Caenorhabditis elegans: one gene and its partners. The protein of the gene in region 4 interacts with the protein of the main gene of each other region in a pairwise test. Each region holds a gene or a part of one and is shown on either strand. Other genes may lie near its edges. The genes, in order: sqst-2, egli-1, nstp-8 and Y41E3.7.

The links.
Region 1: the proteins of Y41E3.7 (region 4) and sqst-2 interact in a two-hybrid assay, tested with the Caenorhabditis elegans proteins (one large-scale study listed by BioGRID).
Region 2: the proteins of Y41E3.7 (region 4) and egli-1 interact in a two-hybrid assay, tested with the Caenorhabditis elegans proteins (one large-scale study listed by BioGRID).
Region 3: the proteins of Y41E3.7 (region 4) and nstp-8 interact in a two-hybrid assay, tested with the Caenorhabditis elegans proteins (one large-scale study listed by BioGRID).

Annotation. Positions count from the first base shown.
Region 1 is NC_003282.8:7,326,833-7,330,745, forward strand, and holds sqst-2 (ZZ-type domain-containing protein), read right to left. Parts: upstream 2,144-3,913; 5' UTR 2,129-2,143; coding exon 2,060-2,128; intron 2,016-2,059; coding exon 1,865-2,015; intron 1,819-1,864; coding exon 1,714-1,818; intron 1,458-1,713; coding exon 1,054-1,457; 3' UTR 939-1,053; downstream 1-938. Other genes in the region: ocr-4 (Ion transport domain-containing protein), read right to left, coding at 2,847-3,020, 3,068-3,313, 3,388-3,667, 3,720-3,913.
Region 2 is NC_003280.10:9,322,135-9,325,553, forward strand, and holds egli-1 (Transmembrane protein 41 homolog), read left to right. Parts: upstream 1-1,825; coding exon 1,826-2,566; downstream 2,567-3,419. Other genes in the region: Ras-related protein rab-39, read right to left, coding at 1-77, 127-240, 291-480, 534-775; eat-3 (Dynamin-like GTPase OPA1, mitochondrial), read left to right, coding at 2,754-2,914.
Region 3 is NC_003283.11:2,213,612-2,218,981, forward strand, and holds nstp-8 (Nucleotide Sugar TransPorter family), read left to right. Parts: upstream 1-2,040; 5' UTR 2,041-2,112; coding exon 2,113-2,181; intron 2,182-2,246; coding exon 2,247-2,342; intron 2,343-2,387; coding exon 2,388-2,485; intron 2,486-2,528; coding exon 2,529-2,667; intron 2,668-3,269; coding exon 3,270-3,392; intron 3,393-3,442; coding exon 3,443-3,536; intron 3,537-3,578; coding exon 3,579-3,710; intron 3,711-4,175; coding exon 4,176-4,480; 3' UTR 4,481-4,550; downstream 4,551-5,370. Other genes in the region: nhr-184 (Nuclear Hormone Receptor family), read right to left, coding at 1-201, 316-515, 563-621, 668-849.
Region 4 is NC_003282.8:15,012,425-15,017,527, forward strand, and holds the start of Y41E3.7 (Golgi resident protein GCP60), read left to right. Parts: upstream 1-1,610; 5' UTR 1,611-1,619; coding exon 1,620-1,728; intron 1,729-1,776; coding exon 1,777-1,844; intron 1,845-1,894; coding exon 1,895-1,965; intron 1,966-2,830; coding exon of another isoform or gene 2,831-2,912; exon of another isoform or gene 2,913-3,072; intron 3,073-5,103. Other genes in the region: qars-1 (putative glutamine--tRNA ligase), read right to left, coding at 97-432, 504-752.

The DNA of each region.
Region 1 (3,913 bases), 7.7 Mb from region 4:
AAAAATGTTGGAATAGTGTAGTAAATGGTGGGTGAACAATCAACTGAAATAGGCGCAATTCTTTCCCTCTCTGCCAAAAAATGTGATAAGAGAATCTTTCTTTGGTGCCTTCTTCTTCTTAACAACATCTTATCAGTTTTTGGTGCGTTTGGAGGAGGAATGCAACGGGGCCGCCCGTTTTTGACTCCTTCATCGCTTTCTCCAAAATGTTGAGCAAATATCAAAGTTTATGATAGGTTGAAGGGACTGAAAATATTTGTGTAACTCAGAATCAGAATATGTTCAAATTTGAGTTTTATTGAACAAAAAGGAGAAATAACATTTTCAGAGAGGTTTTAGTAGGATTTGAATTGCAGGAGTGAAACTAATTTAATAAGCGTGGGCAAAAGTTAATAAGGGCAGTGACAATCAAATTTTGTTTTTGAAAAAGTGAAAAATCATGAACGCGTCATTGGTGATTGCGGAAGAATAAATAAGGAATGGGTAGGTACAATAGACTGCTTTGGCTGAGTTGTAGAAACCTCCCACGCATGCAAAAATGCCTACTTGCATGCTTTCAATGCACAGTAAGCGTTGGTCACTTTCTAGGTGTCAGGCAGGTAGGCATTTTCTAATTACATGGAAAAGTGTTCTATGGAGCCAATTAAAATAGAAATTTTGAAACATTGTGTTAATTTTAAGACAATTAAAAATTGGAAACATGGCCTACAAAATGTTTTTGAAATTCTCAATAAAGGTGGTCCGCGGTGTTATTAATTCTAGTCCTACAAGTCAATAGGAATGAAAATTCAATTGGAACAGATTTCTGAAAAGCACAAGAAAAATTTAATTTTAAAATTCAAAATAAGAGGGAATTTTTTTTTTTGTTTTTTTTTTTGCGAGATAGATTTCAGGAAATTAAAATTGAATGGAGGATGCGTCTTGGTTTTTTGCACTTCTGCAATTACATAACTTTTTTGGTCTTTTTAAGTATAACAAGATAGGACAGAAATCCGACAGAAAAACTAAGTTCACAACATAAATAGGAAAAACAACAAAACTATAAAATACAATTTAAAACCAATGATAATGTTCTCTTTTGATATCATAACGATGTTCTGGGAAAATGTAACTTGGGGCGTTAACTGTGACATAATCAGGAATACTTGTAACCCTTGGAGTCACAATTCGTAGAAGAGCATGCTCGTAGTGAACCAAATCTTTTTCACAGTCTCCACAAATATCATAGTCTGGACATTGAAGACAGTGATAACGGCTTCCAACAATTATACGGAAACAGTTTCGGCATGGAGTGTCATGATGGACGAAGTTTCTTATTGAATCATGATGATGATGATGGTGATGACGTTTGTTATCGTTGAATCGAACAGATTGATGGATTGAATGTTGAGATGGAGTTCGAATTATTGGAACGTTAACTTCGTGATAATTACGGCTTATGCTTCTGGGACGGTAATCTGAAAAATTAAATTTTTAAAAATTTTGTTACTATTAGTTTTGAGTTACATAAGAACACACCTTTGCAAAACAACTTGAAATTTCTCAAAATTTGAAAATAAAAAATACTTTGAAAGATCATTGTTCCTTTTTTTAAAAAAACTTAATTTGAATAATTGAATTTTCAAATTGTAAGATTATCTAACAAAGAACTAACAAGGTTGTTATAATAGGACTATGGAACTGTTTTTTAAAAAGTTTTCCGTAAAATCTTACCTTCCAGTCTTATATGTAGATGTGGAAGAATATGATCAGGATTTTGAACACATTCCATAACTTGCACTGAATCATTCAACTCGTTTTGAGCACCAATTGTACTATCTATTAAAAAATTATTACAAATATTTTTTCATTTCAAAAAACTCACCCGAAAATAGACGATAAACACCATTTGATGGATACAATTCGTGTGCAGCTTCAATTAATTTTTCCATTGCGTTGAACTTATTCAAATACAAAATCTTTGATCTGTGATAGTTATTATGGTAGAATGAGACATGAATATCCCTTGGAATCGTCTGAAAACAGTTTTATTACTGAAATCGAATATTCTTGAAGTTACCGAATATGATGGAGTTCTTTCATATCTTCGTTCTATGATTGGTGGTCTCCTGTATCGAATACTACTCATTTTTGTTGACCCAAACTAAATCAAAACTAAAAAGTTAATCTATAGAAGTAATGAGCAATTTTAGAAAAAAAGTTAGGAAGAGTCGAGAAGTGAAAATGTTGATTTCAGCGCCAGTGAAACTCTTGTCAAATGCTGAATGATGCAGTTTTTGATAAGATAACATTCCACTCGTTAGTCATTTTTGGAGAGCAAAGCAAAGAAAAGAAGAAGGCACATCAGAGAATGTTGCATTTTTTGAAATATCTGAATTGACTTGGTATAACACTAGAAATAACACTAAAAACGATGGGCATTCTCTTGGGTGAGTTCTTAATCCTTTTTTAATAAATAAATTTTCAAATTGAACTGACAAAATTTGCCGAAATAAACTAACAGTATGCCGCTTGTGGACTGGCTGAGCAGTTCGTTTTGAAAGTTTTCATATCGTTATACTTGATTATGGTTACTGCAACAGTACCAAAAAATAGTAAAAAACACTTTTAAAATGTTCTAAATTAAACAGTCTTAAATAAAAATATTTGAATGCAACATATTAAATCCGGAAACTATTTGAGACATCCATTTCATTTAAAGTTTTCCACTGCCAAATTTAAAGGTTTCTAAAAAAGCAAGATTGAGGAATCAAAGAAGAAACATCAACTTTCCACATTTTTCACTAACAAGATCCAACATTTATTAGACAAATTATTTTAGGAAGAGAATGAAACAGTAAAAAAAATTAGCCGGTAGGAATAATCAACTTATTATTAGTATGTCGATGCTTCGATTTGAAATAATTTGCTCCTTGCTTGCATATAAATACTGGCCGTCTTCTCTGGTTTGTGCGAAGTTCCTCACGGAATTTACGACGCTCTTCGTGCATTTTCTTCCGCTGGCACTCGAATTCTTCCTCCTTAAATTTATCATCAAACTATTGGCAAATGTGTAAGAGGAACTCACTGTCATTTTATCTTTTAACAATAAAACTAGTTTTTCACCTCCATCAAAACGTATTCCATATCTTCTTTGATACCGTAACCTGGTTGCTGGATCAAAACTTTGTTCCATCATTAGAATAATTGCAGACCATTGTCGAAGCCACTCTAATGAATTTCCAGAGACTTCTGTATAAGTATTAGTCATCATAGCAATAAGCATGTTAATGAGCAAAAGTGTTACGAGAAGCATATAGACTACGAATGTTATCTGAAAATCAAAAATTCTATATTTTTCGATGATCTTTCTAGTCTAGAATTGTTTTAAAAAAAGTGTAAGCCTACCTTTCCAATAACGGTATGCTCACATTCTTCCAATTGCTCAAAAAATACAGTAAACTCTGTGAGTGACATGATAAACATCCGTACGTAGCTTTCCGCAACGTTACTCATAATGCTTGGTTCACGATTTCCAGAATCACTTCTCTTATAACCGAGGAATATGACATAAAATGCTTGAGAGAAGCCAACTACAATGACCAAATAGATCAAGAAGAATCTCATTAAATCACGAATTATAATTTTATAGAGCATCAAGACGAATGGTCCAACTGACTTAAATCCTCTGGAAAAGTAGTTTATTTCCTATTGTGGATCTAATCATAAAGCGTACTTACCTACAAAAGAACAGAAATTTCAATGAAGTTAATAAAACAATCACTATCCAAACAATATCCTCGGCTTCATCCAAACAAAATATTCTCAGAAAAAATGTGATGACCATTAGAATACAGGAAAATAGGAAAATAGCTTTGGCTGGAAATCCAGAAAGTCCGAGTACATATAAATGATATCCAACATTTTTAATATG
Region 2 (3,419 bases), on a different chromosome or scaffold from region 4:
GACCTCATAATACCAGTTTTAAGGCCTTCCCAGCCATCCACGGGCCGCAGTTCTCCGTCGTCGACTCGATTTTGAATCTAAAAATTTGAAAATTACATCATAAAATTGAAACATTTTCAAAAAAACCTCTTGTGCAATCATATGAAAAGCTTCATTAACATTGTCTCCTGTTCTCGACGACGTCTCGATAAACTTCATTTTATGGTACTTGGCAAAGTACTCGCCTTCCTCATAGTTTACCTGAAAGCTTTTAACCAATTTTTTAAACACAACTTTTGTTCAAAAATTACCTGTCGCTGTGAATCCATATCACTTTTTGTTCCGACTAATTGGAAGACACACTTCGATGGGCTTGGACCACCCAAATTTAATGCTGCTTCTTTAACCCAATTTTCAACATGCTCAAAACTTTCTCGATTCGTTGTGTCGTAGATTGCAAGGACTCCAACAGAATTCCGATAGTAGGATTTTGTAATTGATCTAAAAATATTTTTTTTAATCAGCTAATATTCTTTTTAAAAAAATCCACATACCTGAATTTTTCCTGTCCTGCTGTATCCCATAGTTGCAATTTAACACGATATCCAGGCCTCAACTCAATCATCCTTGCATAAAAGTCTACTCCGACAGTTGGGTCGCTGATTTCGGCCATTTTTCCTTCTGTGAAGTACCGTAAAAGACTAGATTTGCCAACTGTTGAATCCCCAATAACGATAAGACGATATTGGTAGTGAAAGAGCGGTCCATAGTCGTCACCAATGAAGTTTGTTTCCATTTTGTCTAAAAAATGATATATTGTTGAGCGTTTCCAATAGAGAATGATGCAATTATTATAAGAAAATAAATTTAAAGTTATCCGAGCAACAATTATCAATAAATATTACTTTTTTAAATGAAAACCTTTTTAATTTCAGCAGAAATCTTAGAAATCAGATGATCAATAAATAAAAACGGCTGACTTTTTAAAGGCGCATAGAATTTTCTTGGTGGCGGGTCCCGCACCGAAGAGCCGTTTTCTAAATAATATACACTAATGATTATTTTTATTAAATTTTTTCACGGTTTTCGAGAGTATTCTTTATATAAATTCAATTTTAAAGCATTCTCGTCGAGTTTGAATCCGAAATTATCGATTTTCGTTTTTCTCTGCTTTCTCTACCGCTGTTTTCTCTCCTCCGCTGTCTTCGCAAGATTATAGAGCTCTTTTGAATCAATTTGTTTCATGTTTCCGCTTTTGACGTTATTTTAAACATATACTGATATAAATAAATTAAGAATAGAGTAGAAAATCTAGTTCAAGTAAAGATGCAACATTTCTTTCTGCAAAATTTCTCGAAAACACCTGTTTTCCAAAACTTTTCAATTACACAATTAGAATTTCGGAAAAGTTAACATATATAAGAACATATTATATATATATATATATATATATATATATAGATTAACTCTCACAGTTAAAGAAATCTGAATAGTAATATTGCGAAATAGTTTTGCATAAGTTTGTTTGATTAAATTAAATGTGAAGCACTAACGCTATTGAATCCAGGAAAAACTCGAATTATTTGTTTGATTTTTATTAAACACACTTTGTGAACAATTTTCGGTTAAGAGGCTTTGTTGTAGTAAAAATCCTAAATCTACGATTATCTTCTTAAAATTTGACATACTTCTTACGTATGTTACAGGATAAATCGAGTTTTGATGTATTTCGTAAATAGTTTTTAATCATGTTATCTTTTTATTTCCCATCTCTATGTTTTAATGTTGTCTTTACACTAATTCACCCGTAATGTCCGTGCACAAAAGAATTTAACATTCAGATATTATGGAAACAAAATCATCCCAAACTTCACATCCGTGGCTTGTTCTACTCATTTTCGCCACTTTTGCGGTCTCAATTTTTGCTGTATACAGCAATTTTCCTGAAGTCTCGGCAGATGAGAAGGTTCATTTGAAATATCCCAGGAATCTGGAAGACGCTAAGCAGCTGGGCAGAGTTCTCTCGAAGTACAAGGAGAACAACTATTCAGTAGTTCTGTGCGGTGTAATTGTCGTCTACGTATTTCTACAGTCCTTCGCTATCCCTGGATCTATTTTTCTAACAATTCTATCAGGATACCTGTTTCCATTCTATGTGGCAATTGTGTTGGTGTGCTCCTGCTCTGCAACTGGAGCCGCCATCTGCTACACCATTTCTAAACTTTTTGGACGATCATTTGTTTTGCAAAAGTTTCCCGAAAGAATCGCAAAATGGCAGGATGATCTGAGCAAGCATCGTGATGACTTTCTGAACTATATGATTTTCCTTCGAGTAACTCCAATTGTTCCAAATTGGCTAATCAACATTGCCAGTCCTGTTCTAGATGTTCCACTGGCTCCATTCTTCTGGGGAACATTTCTAGGCGTTGCTCCACCAAGTTTCCTGTATATTCAAGCTGGCTCAACACTGGAACAATTGAGCCATACCAGTGTAGCATGGAGTTGGAGTTCTATCGTTTTACTTACGGGTTCGGCGATTTTGTCGCTGGCTCCTATTTTGCTCAAGAAGAAGCTCAAATCGGATTAATTTTCTCTCTTATTTCCTCTTTCGATCTCATTTTTTTTCCATTGCTTTCTGTGCAAAACTTGTGATATTTAGAGAATATAGCCGATAACTCATTTCTATACTATTTTTATTTATTTTTCGCCTCCTTTTTTGTCATAATAATCATATTTTCTTCACTAATAAACAATTTTTAGGTGATGAAACAATGATGCGGATCGCCACAAGACGCCGATTCATATCGAACAATTTGCACAAGTTTTCCCGGATATCCGCCTCCACTTCTGCAACTTTAGCCGCATATTCAAATGGAAATCAACATCAGAACAGGCAATTCGGCACAAATGCACTTTTCAGCAAAAAAGGAGGATTGTGAGTCTCTCTCCTTTTCTCTCTATTCCTCTCTCTCTCTCTGTCCGCTCTTTGATGAGTAATAAGACACCAAAAACCACGAAGATAGCGCAAAGGGGGAATGTGTTTTGTAATACTGCTGTCTCTTCTCTTTTTTTTGCATCTTTGGTTGATGACGTTTATCAATATGAAAACACCACATTTTGAAGCGAACAAAAAAACGACATTTTGTCTTTTACCACTCATTTTGAACTTTTGAAAAATTGTTTAAGATTTTTTAACGAAAAATTTTCGGATATTTCACATTTTTGGCAATATTGTTTCCTAAATATTACCTATCCTGAAGATGAGGTTATATAATCTTCCAAGATCTTCCAAGAATATTTCTATTCGTTGATGTTCAAATTTCATTTTTGACGGGAAAAAACCGAAGAAGAAAACAAAATTCCGAACTTTGAACCTCTGGAACAGAAATAAAAAAATGGGAAATTTTTTGGAGAATTAGAGAAATAGACATCAAAGACCA
Region 3 (5,370 bases), on a different chromosome or scaffold from region 4:
TGTAAAATCTGGAAGTCTTGCGTACCAGTTCGCGGTCGCCAAGAACATTTGCTCGAAAAAGACAAGCGATTCAGCTTTCCCAATATTCCGCACAATTTTTACTTTATGATTTGAGCTTCTTAACCGCAAGTCTTCCATTTCCAATGTGAGCTTTTCCAGGCTATTGCTGTATTTGTAGGGCATTGGTGAGTTGGCTAGGTCCTTAAAATTGCACAATAGCGAGCAACCGACAAATTACAGGACGGCAAAATTTGATGCGAAAAAAACATCAATTGGCCCGTGAAGTGTCGGCTTGTGCCAAAAAATAACCTTTACCTCCTGGAAAATTTCTGCAGCTTTGTGAACCAAATCCGTCACATCTATCACTGTCTTGAAAGGAGAAGCCTTTTCGGGCTCGAAACTTATTATGAATTCGGGCCGCCCGAGAAAGTTTGCCAAACTTTGTGGAGCATAAACTTTCGTGCGTTTAAGGTATGCATTGGAGCTTGAAATAAGGTCACGGTCCTTTTGAAATTCTGAACATTTAGATATTAAAATTTTTTAAAAATTCTTTTTAACCCACTACTTGCGTCCATTCCGACTTTGTAGCACTTTTTCAGTCGGCAAATTTTACAGCGATATCTAGAAAATTTGAAGTTTTTTTTTTCAATTTCCAGCAAACACATACGCTCCAGCATCAAAAATCCGGCAATCCCCATATTCACAGGCTTTATCTTGAAACCGAGGACTTCGAGAAGCTCTTCTGAAAAATGCGGCGCAAGCTCGGCAACTGAGCACACCGAAATGGTTTCCGTGAGCTGGTAGATCACAAATTTTACACGGTCCTGAGATGAGAAGGGCTGCTGGCATTTTGTCGTCTGAATTGCTAAAGATTTGTTCAATTTTTTTTTGAGAAAAATATTGGCGGGAAAATCAAATTTTCTCAAAAAAAATATGGCGGGAAAATCAAATTTTCTTGAAAAATACTTGGCGGGAAATTCAAAATTTCTAAAAAAGAATATGGGCGGGAAATTCAAAATTCCTCAGTAAACAATTAAGCTGGAAATTCAAATTTTTGTTAAAAAATAATTGGCGGTAAATCAAAATTTTCTCAAAAAACTATTTTTGGGAGAAATTAAATTCAAAATATTTTTGCGGGAAATTTAAATTTTCTACAAAAATATATAATGGTAATCAATAAAAAAAATTAAATAAAAAGTCCAATACATATCAGTTGACAGAAAACTAAATACATACTAGACATATAAAATGGAAACCAATGATCGGAGACGCAGACTGCTAAAGCAAGGCCTGGTGGGGTTTGAAGCAACATCAGCGTCAATAGAAAAAGTTGCCAAGAGTGACGAAACTACGAAAATGCTTACATAATGTGAATGAATAATTTAAGACAAGGAACAAATCTCCCCATTTTTTAAAAATTCAGTCTAGGCCAGGCTTGTTTGATGTTTGAAAAATCACACCAAAAAATGCGAATTTTTTTCCGATTAAAAAAATTTTTGACGGGATCTTGAAAATCTGGAGTTTTTATAATAAAAAAATGAGTAGTAATGACCGAATATAAATGTAAAAAAATGTATTAAAAGTTATTGAAATTTTGGAGATTTTTTTTGTTGGAAAAATCAGTGTATTTTTTTAGAAATTTTGAACCGCCTTAAAAAATTCTTCAAAAATTTCTAAGAAGTTTCATTACAAAATTCGTTCATTTGAGCACATTTTGGGCCTATACGCTCAAAATCGTCAGAACCGTTAGTCCTCCTTCAAATTAAAAAAAGGAAAAAAATTGAAGAACATTTTTGAAAATTTGGAAAATTGAGGTATTATACTCAAGATTTTTTTAGAAAAATTTTGAAATTTTAAATAATTAGAGTTAAACCGGATAAAAACATGTCTAACAAAAAACGAAGCGACAAATAAAAAAAAGGAAAATTTCACTAGACTTTTGAGAGGAAAATCTGATTTTTTCTGCGATACCAGGCGCAGCCTACATATTATTATCGCACGATCTTGAATCCTGAAAAGCCAATATATTTCCTATTGATTCGATTTGTTGCTTATTCTTTAAATACATTTGCTGTATTTGTAACTCTCTGAAAATTTAATTTTCAGTGCAAAATGAGTGATGTGAAACATCAAATTTTGGATCTAGAGATTGATAAGAAAGTCAAATCGAGTTCTAGTTCGGTACGCCAATTTTTTTAAAATTTCATTTTTTAATTCATGATAGCTTGGAAATTAGTTAATTTTAGATCATTCAAGGGTTATGCTCAATTCAACTTTTATCTATGATCGCAGTTACCGCACACCACACAGCCATGCCATTTTTTGTACAAATGGCTAATACGGTAAGGATCTTAATTTTCAATTGCCAAGAAAAAATCACTATTCAGAGCCATTTCCTTCCGACAACTTCGGTTTTTATGATGGAAGTTTTGAAGTTATTATTTTGCCTGATAATTGTTTTATTTAAAACAAAAAGTTTTGAGAAGTAAGATTCTGGGGAAAAAAGTAATGTTCCAACACACTTACAGAACTGGCAAAAAGCTATACGAACACATTTGGAAAAATCGAGTGGAAACCTTGAAAGTGTCGGTTCCAGCAGTGGTATATGCTATTCAGAACAATTTATACTACATTGCACTCGCGAATATTGATGCGACAACTTATTCGGTAATTTTTGCCCAAAATGAAATTAAGAAAATATGGGATCAATATACCAAATTCAAACTGTAAAAAATTTTTTAGAAATTTTTAAATTTAGTATGATTTTTTTTTGAATTCTTCATACAAATCACCTAAATTTTGGCATTTTTACAAAATGTTTAATTTTTCTTGGCAATTTTTATTGGGTTTTCATAGTTTTCATTAGTTTATTTAATTTTGGCACTGTTTGTCTTTTTTTTTAAATTATGTTTTTGAAAAGAAAATTTGGTAATCTCTAAGAAAAACGCTGAAACATTGAAATTGATCCAATTTCTTTGTAGAAAAATGTCCGAAAATGTGACAAATAATAATTCAAATTATGATATACAAACAAAACCGAGAAAATAAAATTTTAATCCTAATTATGCCAAAATGCCAAAATCTTAGTTGACTTACGCGAAAACTCAAAAATGATTCAGCACTTATAAGTTTATATTCTAAGTTGATATTTAAAAAGACATATTAACCGGACATTTTAGTGATTTTATTTTTTCTGAAATTCCTGGAAATTAGATTACATGAGAAAATTCACGAAAAAGTTACATACGTGGTATTTTTTAAATTTTCAGGTAACTGTCCAATTACGCATATTGACCACCGCCCTTTTATCCGTCATTATATTAAACCAAAAGCTCTCCAATTATCAATGGCTGGCTCAGGGTATGGCTCTCATCGGTGTGGTTCTTGTGCAGGTATGCTCCTCCTGGAGTTATCGACTCTAAATTAATGCCTCCAATTTCAGATTGACAATTCTAACCCCCATGGGAAAGTATTCGGAAATTTCTGGCTAGGGATAACGGCTGTGTTTGGTATGTGCTGGACAAGTGGCTTTGCTGGTTGGTTACTGTACTTTGGACCTAAAATGAAGTAACTTTAAGGTGTCTACTTTGAAAAAATGCTGAAAGAATCGTCAGCTGACGTGTGGGTTCAGAATATCCGGCTTTCAACTTTAACACTGCTTTTTGCTGGGATCACAATGCTCTCTACAGACGGAGAAGCCGTTCTTACAGGTAAGAAGGCTTTAAGGAGCTCCTGCTAAAGGTGGAGTAGCGCCAGCGGGAAAATTTTTTGTAAACCACTCCTATTGTGCCAAAATGATCGAATAAAAAAATTTTTTGAACATTTTTTATTTACAGTGAAAAAGTGTCAATTACTAAGTTTTTGCCACTCATAATTTTGTAAGTCGACCAAAAAAATTGTTTTTTCTACATTTTTTATACTTTAATTTTTATTCAATTATTTGTATTAAAACATTGAAGGGATCGGAACATGCGACATTGTTCTGGATTTCCTGAAAAGCCGATAATTTTTAAAATTATGGCAATTTGTCAAACCTTTGACCAAAAATTATGAAAAATCTGAAATTTTTCAGAGTGTTTTATTATAATATTTAGTTGTTTTGGAATATTATAAGTGTATTTACACAAAATCCCTACTGGCGCTACTCCACCTTCAATAAATTTTTGAAATTTCAGGAAAAATGTTCTTTGGCTGGAATTGGATAGTGTGGTTTGTTACAATTGGTAATTCAATCGTAGGTCTTTGCATTTCGTTGGTAATGAAGTACGCCGATAATGTGATGAAGACGTATTGCCAATCGCTTGCAATAGGCCTCACAGCAATTGTGTCCATATTCCTTGGTGACCGAACTCTTAGTATAGATCTCATTTACGGAGTTCTACTTGTCACATCTTCTATTGTGGTATACTCACGGTTCCCGGCTACTACATCTACAAAATATGAGCCACTGGAACAGGACAGCGACGCAGAAAAAAATTAAGAAAATTTATCGTTACTATATATTTGTTTGTACTATTGGTTTTCCACGGAATAAATACAATTTAATCAAACCAACTGTGTTACCGGGCGATAGCGTTCTTGAAGATTGTTCCGCTTGATTCAATATTCGTGTCTATCCTACCAAGAAGCCCGGCGGACATTCAACATCAAATGCGACGCTATTTGATGGATCTAGATGGAATAGTGGCGTTTTGATGAACTTTAGAGATAATGAAAAAACCGTTCCCATTTTCAAGATGTGCATTTTTATCGCAAAATTCACAACTTAAAGGTGGAGCAGCACCAGTGTAAATTTTGTCTGAAAACACTTATAATGAACAAAAAAACCGAATATCATAATAAAACACTCCAAAACTTTTCTGATTTTTCAAAATTTTCTGTCAAAGTTTTGGCACATTGGCAAAATTTGAAAAATATTAGCGTTTGAGAAAATCCAAACGAATGTCGCATGTACTGACCCCTACAATGTTTTAATACAAATTATTCAAAAAAAAAAAAAAATGTAGGAGAAATTTTTTTTGACCGACTTCCAAAATTACGAGTGGCAAAAACTGAGTAAGTGTTACTTTTTGACTGTTAAAAAATTCCAAAAAAAAATAAAAAATATTAAAAAAAATTTTGAAAAAAGTTCCATTATGATGTTCAGGCATTTTGGTCCACCAAATGTGGATTTTTGCAGACTTTCAATGTTTTTTTGACTCCCAGATCCGCAGTGCATAGCGCTTGAAGAACGGATCGTTCTTTAATTTTTTTTAATTTTAGGGAATCAAAAAATTTGTTTAAGATTATTCGAAAGAAATATTCAAAAAATTTGAAATTCTGTTAATTTTTAATATATTATTTCCATATTTCGCAATACAACTTTGCCCC
Region 4 (5,103 bases):
GGTTGCGAATTCCTCCAAATTTCCGGCAAAAGTCCTGAAAAATGTAGATTAAATTCAATAATTTTTTTCAGAACAGTACGGAATTTCAGGCCTTACTTTCGGGCCTTCCGGCTTCTTCTCCTTCTTCTTCGGAGCCAAATCCTCCGCAGTCTTCGGTCCGAGCAGCTCCAAGAATCTCAAATCCACCTCCTTCTTCGTAATCGCACCATCAGCCCATGGAAGCAGAGCTCGTAGCTCGCCGAGCAACTTTCCGGCCGGGAACGAGTACCGCTCGGCGACGATTTTCTCGCGGTGTTGGCCAATCACCTTGGTAACGGCCGCTTCGATGTCGTCGATTGTGACAACAACGCCGACTCCGCATGATTTCTCGAAATCAGGCACTTGGATACCTTTAACGGTGTGCGAGAGAAGATACTCGATCGCTGCGGAGAGCTGAAATTTTTTTGAAATTTGGAAATTTAGCTGTTTTTTTTTTAATTTGAAATTTAATTTTAATTACAAACCTGTGGCTCTGTCTTAATCCCGTCATTCATAATATACTTGACAACTAGTGGAGTGTGAGCAGCGACTTGTGGCTTCAACTTTGTCGCCAACTGGTACAAAAGTGTTCCTTTTTGCTTGGAAATCTCGCCAGACTCGCTCGCAAGCTTCACAATTGAACCGATCGTTTCGGTGAGCTTCACATTTTTCAGCGTTTCAGCTACTTTTGAATCAGAGAGGCCCAAAGAGAGAAGCTCCTCCTTTGTTGCCATTTTTACCCTGGAAAATTTGTGAATTTTTTTGAATAATTTGAAGTTAGAAAGTGGAGAAGCGGAAGAAAATTCTAGAAAATAAATGTTTTTAAAGAAAGTCCAGTTTTCCGTTTTCTGAGTTTCGCGGAAAGTTGCAATCTATAGAAAAACTGAAAAAAAAGCAAATCGCTTCCTGAAACAGCCTAAAAAACCTTGAAAATACAAAATTTAGGGAGAATTTAGAAGATTTTTCGTCGAATCTCGGGAAAATCTTGAATAATTGAGTGAGAAAACAGTTTTTACAATAAGGAATTATGATAAAGTTGCAAACATCTGGAGAAATTCCAAATTTCTTGATTTTAGCCGAATAACCCTAAATTTTTCAGTTTTTTCCGAGTTTTTCGCGGGATTTGAGTTTAAATACAATATTTCTATATTTTTAATCAAATTTTTAGCCTCAAATCTGGAAAAAATAATTTTAAAAAAGCCAAAAAACCACTGGAAAACTTTTAAAATAGGCTTTTCCTTGCTAATTGCAGCTGAAAACTGCAAAAGTGTGCATTTTCGCGTGCCGGTGTTTACACACAAAACATCACAAAATGGTGTGCCACATCGGATCCACGTTCATTTTTTTCAGCGTTGTTCTTCGTGTTTTTGCATTAAAAAGTTCTGAAAATCTGGATTTTTTATTGATTTTTACTTCGAATTGTGATCTTTAATCTAATTTCTATGGATTTTATACCGAAAATGTCGAAATTACATATGAAAATTGCTAGAAACCGGCTGCAATTCTCATTTTCTGATTTTTATCTGATTTTCTTTCCAGTTTCCCCTTGATTTTTATTGCGCTCTGGCATTTTAAAAATCAATTTTCGCACATTTTCAGAGATGGCCGACGAGAACCACGTCCGTCTAAGCGAGGTTCAACTGATTCAGTCGGAATTCGGACATTCTCTCGAGGAATGCTACAAGCTTGCCGTTCAATATTATAAAAAAGGTATTTTTTGATTTAAAAATTCTTTTTAAAAAATGAGTTTTTTTCCAGAACACGTCGGGAAACAGGAGCCTGTTGGATATGAAGATCGCATTAAATTGCTCTCGTTGAGCAAACAAGTGAAAATTCCAGTTTTAAAATCAAAAATTAAATAAAAATTAAATTCCAGGTCCAACATGGAGAGATTTCCGATGAATTTGACAACGCTGGATGGCTAGATATCACTGGAAACGATGTGAAGTGGGTGATTTTCAATCAAAATTCTAACAAAAAAAAAGAAAACACTCTATTCCTTTTCCAATTTCCCCCCACACCCTCATTTCTCGAAAATGATGAACAAAATTGGAGAAAAAAAAGAAGAAGGACACACGAAGACGCAATCTCCAAAAAATTTCATTTTGTTTTTCATTTCCTATTCTATTCCAGGATAGAAATCTCGGAGAATTGGCAACTTTTCTTCTGATTTAATTAATTTTTAGCGGTTTTTCTTCAGAAATTTGATCAAAAATTGAATCGATCCGTGAATTTTGCACAGAAAAAGAGGCGGGGCGTAATTTTGCAACCCTGTGGCACCGTTTTTTAATGTCGATTTTACTAGTTTTATTCTTTTTTTATCGAATTAAAAGGTTATCCAATTAAATTCTAGTAATTAATTTAATCTGAATATCCTTATAATCTTATGAGAATTAAATTTTATAACATTTTAATTCGAAAAAAAGATAATATGACAAGTAAAATCGGCATTTTATTGAAAAAAATCAACAAAAAGTGGAAAACGAGCTCCAAAAAAGAGAGAAAACGCTGGTTTTCTGGCGAAATTCACAATTCTTCCACGCAAAACTATGTAGCTGAAAATTTCAGAAAGTTGGAAAAAAAATCCAATTTTATAATTTTTTTACAGTTTTTTTTTACAAATTCAGTTTTCTAGGCTTCTCTTCTGGCGCCCTCAAGCCATTCTCAAACTTTAAATGAATTTTCCAAAATTTTAGGCTAAAATCCTCCAATTTTAGTGCCTTCTCCTCTGAAATTAAGCAGCAAATCTGAAAAAGCTGTCAAAATAACCTATTTTATGGCAATTTTGCACCTCAAATAGAGCCGTTTTCAGCGATTTTTCGAACTTTGTTGCTCGTCAGTACAAATTCGTGTTCCTCCTCCTGCTCCACCACTCGCCGTCTTGTTTCGTCTAATCCATTTGGGACGTTTATACGTGTTTTGTGTGTCCCGGCGGCTTCTTCCTTCACTTTTGCTACTAGAAATTATTTCTCTTTGAAACCTCTGTCCGAAATATATTTTTTTTTGCTGGACGCCTTCTTTAGAACCTTTTCAAGTGTGGCCAATTATCGTAAAAGCAGGCGGTGTGCAAATTTGATTTTCGAGAGAGAAGGAATGTTCAATGTCTACCAGTTATTTTGGCTTTTTCCAAGGATTCGTTCAGTTCTTTGACGAATAACAGCCCCACGGGGTTCTGGCCTTCCTCATTGAATTTTTCGCGCTCCATTGACAATCGCTCGCCGGACTCCACACGGACAAATACATTTACATAGTTTTTCAACTAAAATCGAGCCGCGACGCGACACGCAACGCGCCGTAAATCTACCCCCGAGCCAAAATGACCTAGTTCGGCAAACTCTTCCATTTCAAGTTATGAGGGAAGCCAGAAAACCGTGGCAGCCCGAAAGGTCTTCTACTTTTGATGCTCTCGGAGCTCTGAGCCAAAAAGCCCCAAATATGGATACAAATCCATCATGAGCTCACCTCATAAGAGCCGGCTCTCCTAATACTCATCAGTCATTTTGTATTCTTTCCTAAAGAGATAGACATACATGTTTTCAAAAAAGAAAAGAAGTTTTTGTCGAGAATTCGTCACAAATTGATTTTCAGCCTCTTTTGTCGACGAAAATTTCAGCTACACCCACCAATTTGGCTCTCCTCCTCCTCCTGCTCAAGAGGAGCAACACTGAAATCTCTGGAGAATTGGGTGGCTTCTTCCTCTCCTTTCATTCCTTTTTGCCCTATTTCTCTCGTTTTTCCGTCTGTTAAAAAGTTGACGGCACATCCTTCTGTTTTGTTACTTTGTTGTTTTCGAGGCGGTTTCACAATTGTCTACGGTATTTCCTGATTACGGAACTTTTTTCTGCGTGCGGATTCTGAGTTTTTCACGGGGTTCTGGCCCAGATATGGCAGAGCCAAAATGGCCTAGCTCGGCAAACTCTTTCATTTAAATTTATGAGAGGAAGCCAGAAACCACGCGACGCCAGACTGTCCCATCACGATTTGATCTACAAAAAATGCGGAAAATTTTTTCCTCTAAAAATTGTGACGTCAGAACGATCTCAACCATGTGAAATCAGAAGAGATGTCTGCGTCTCAACTCCCGCATTTTTTGAAGATCAAATCGGAATAAGACTTTTCGGACTCCATGCGGTGCACCCGTAACGTGACTGAGATCGTGGCAAGACCCACTTATCATGTCAAATTTTCGGGAAAATGTCCTACCGTACTTACTTGAAGGAAGAACCTCTCATCAACATTCTACAACCAAAATGTAGTCCTCATTGCAAGAAGAAATACGTCATATTTCTCTGTCTATCTACATTCCAGTACTTGTGTCTGATAATCAGGAAGTGCTGATATCCATTCCGTGTTTTTCTCATGACACTTGCTTTTTTTTGAAGAGAAGTCACCTTCGCCCTCCAGCAAAATTTAAGGTTTTCCCACGAGGATATCCAGCGTTTCCTCGTGTTTCTTTAGTAGTAGTTCACTTTTTTTCTGGTTTTGTTTTCGTTGGATTGCTTTCCTTTGTGGAAAATCAAATTTTCTACCGAAATTTGTGTGGGGATTCTCTCGCTACTCTGGTCTGTTCTTCTGACTCACGTTTTCCGTTTCTTTCCATCCAAGAGACGTACAAAAGTAGTAAGAGTAAACACACAGACGAGGGGAAGAAGCTTCTTCCTCCCTTTTTTTCTATTCGCCAAAATTGAATTTGTGTGTAGCTCCGCCGTCCCGGGCGGACTTCGCCTTCTTCCTCAACCCAAAAATCTAACTTAACAAGAAGGGAAAAAGAAGTGACAAGGACGCGAGGAATGCTAATAAGATGATGGTGTTGGAAGGGATGTGGGGACGACGACTAGTTGGACAGACGACATCGGCTTCTTCTTCTTCTTCCGTTTTTTTTTGTCAGAAGATAACGTCTTCTTTGACAAGACGGCAGGGATGACAAGTTTTCAACCTTTTGTTCTTGTGCTGTTTGGAATCGCAACTAGGGCTGTGCGGCTGATGACTCGGCTGATGGAGCAAATCAACGTTTTTCAACGTAATAGCAATGATCAATTAGGGAATACTTGTATTTGCCATATCGGCTGAGTCTTGAGCTTCTAA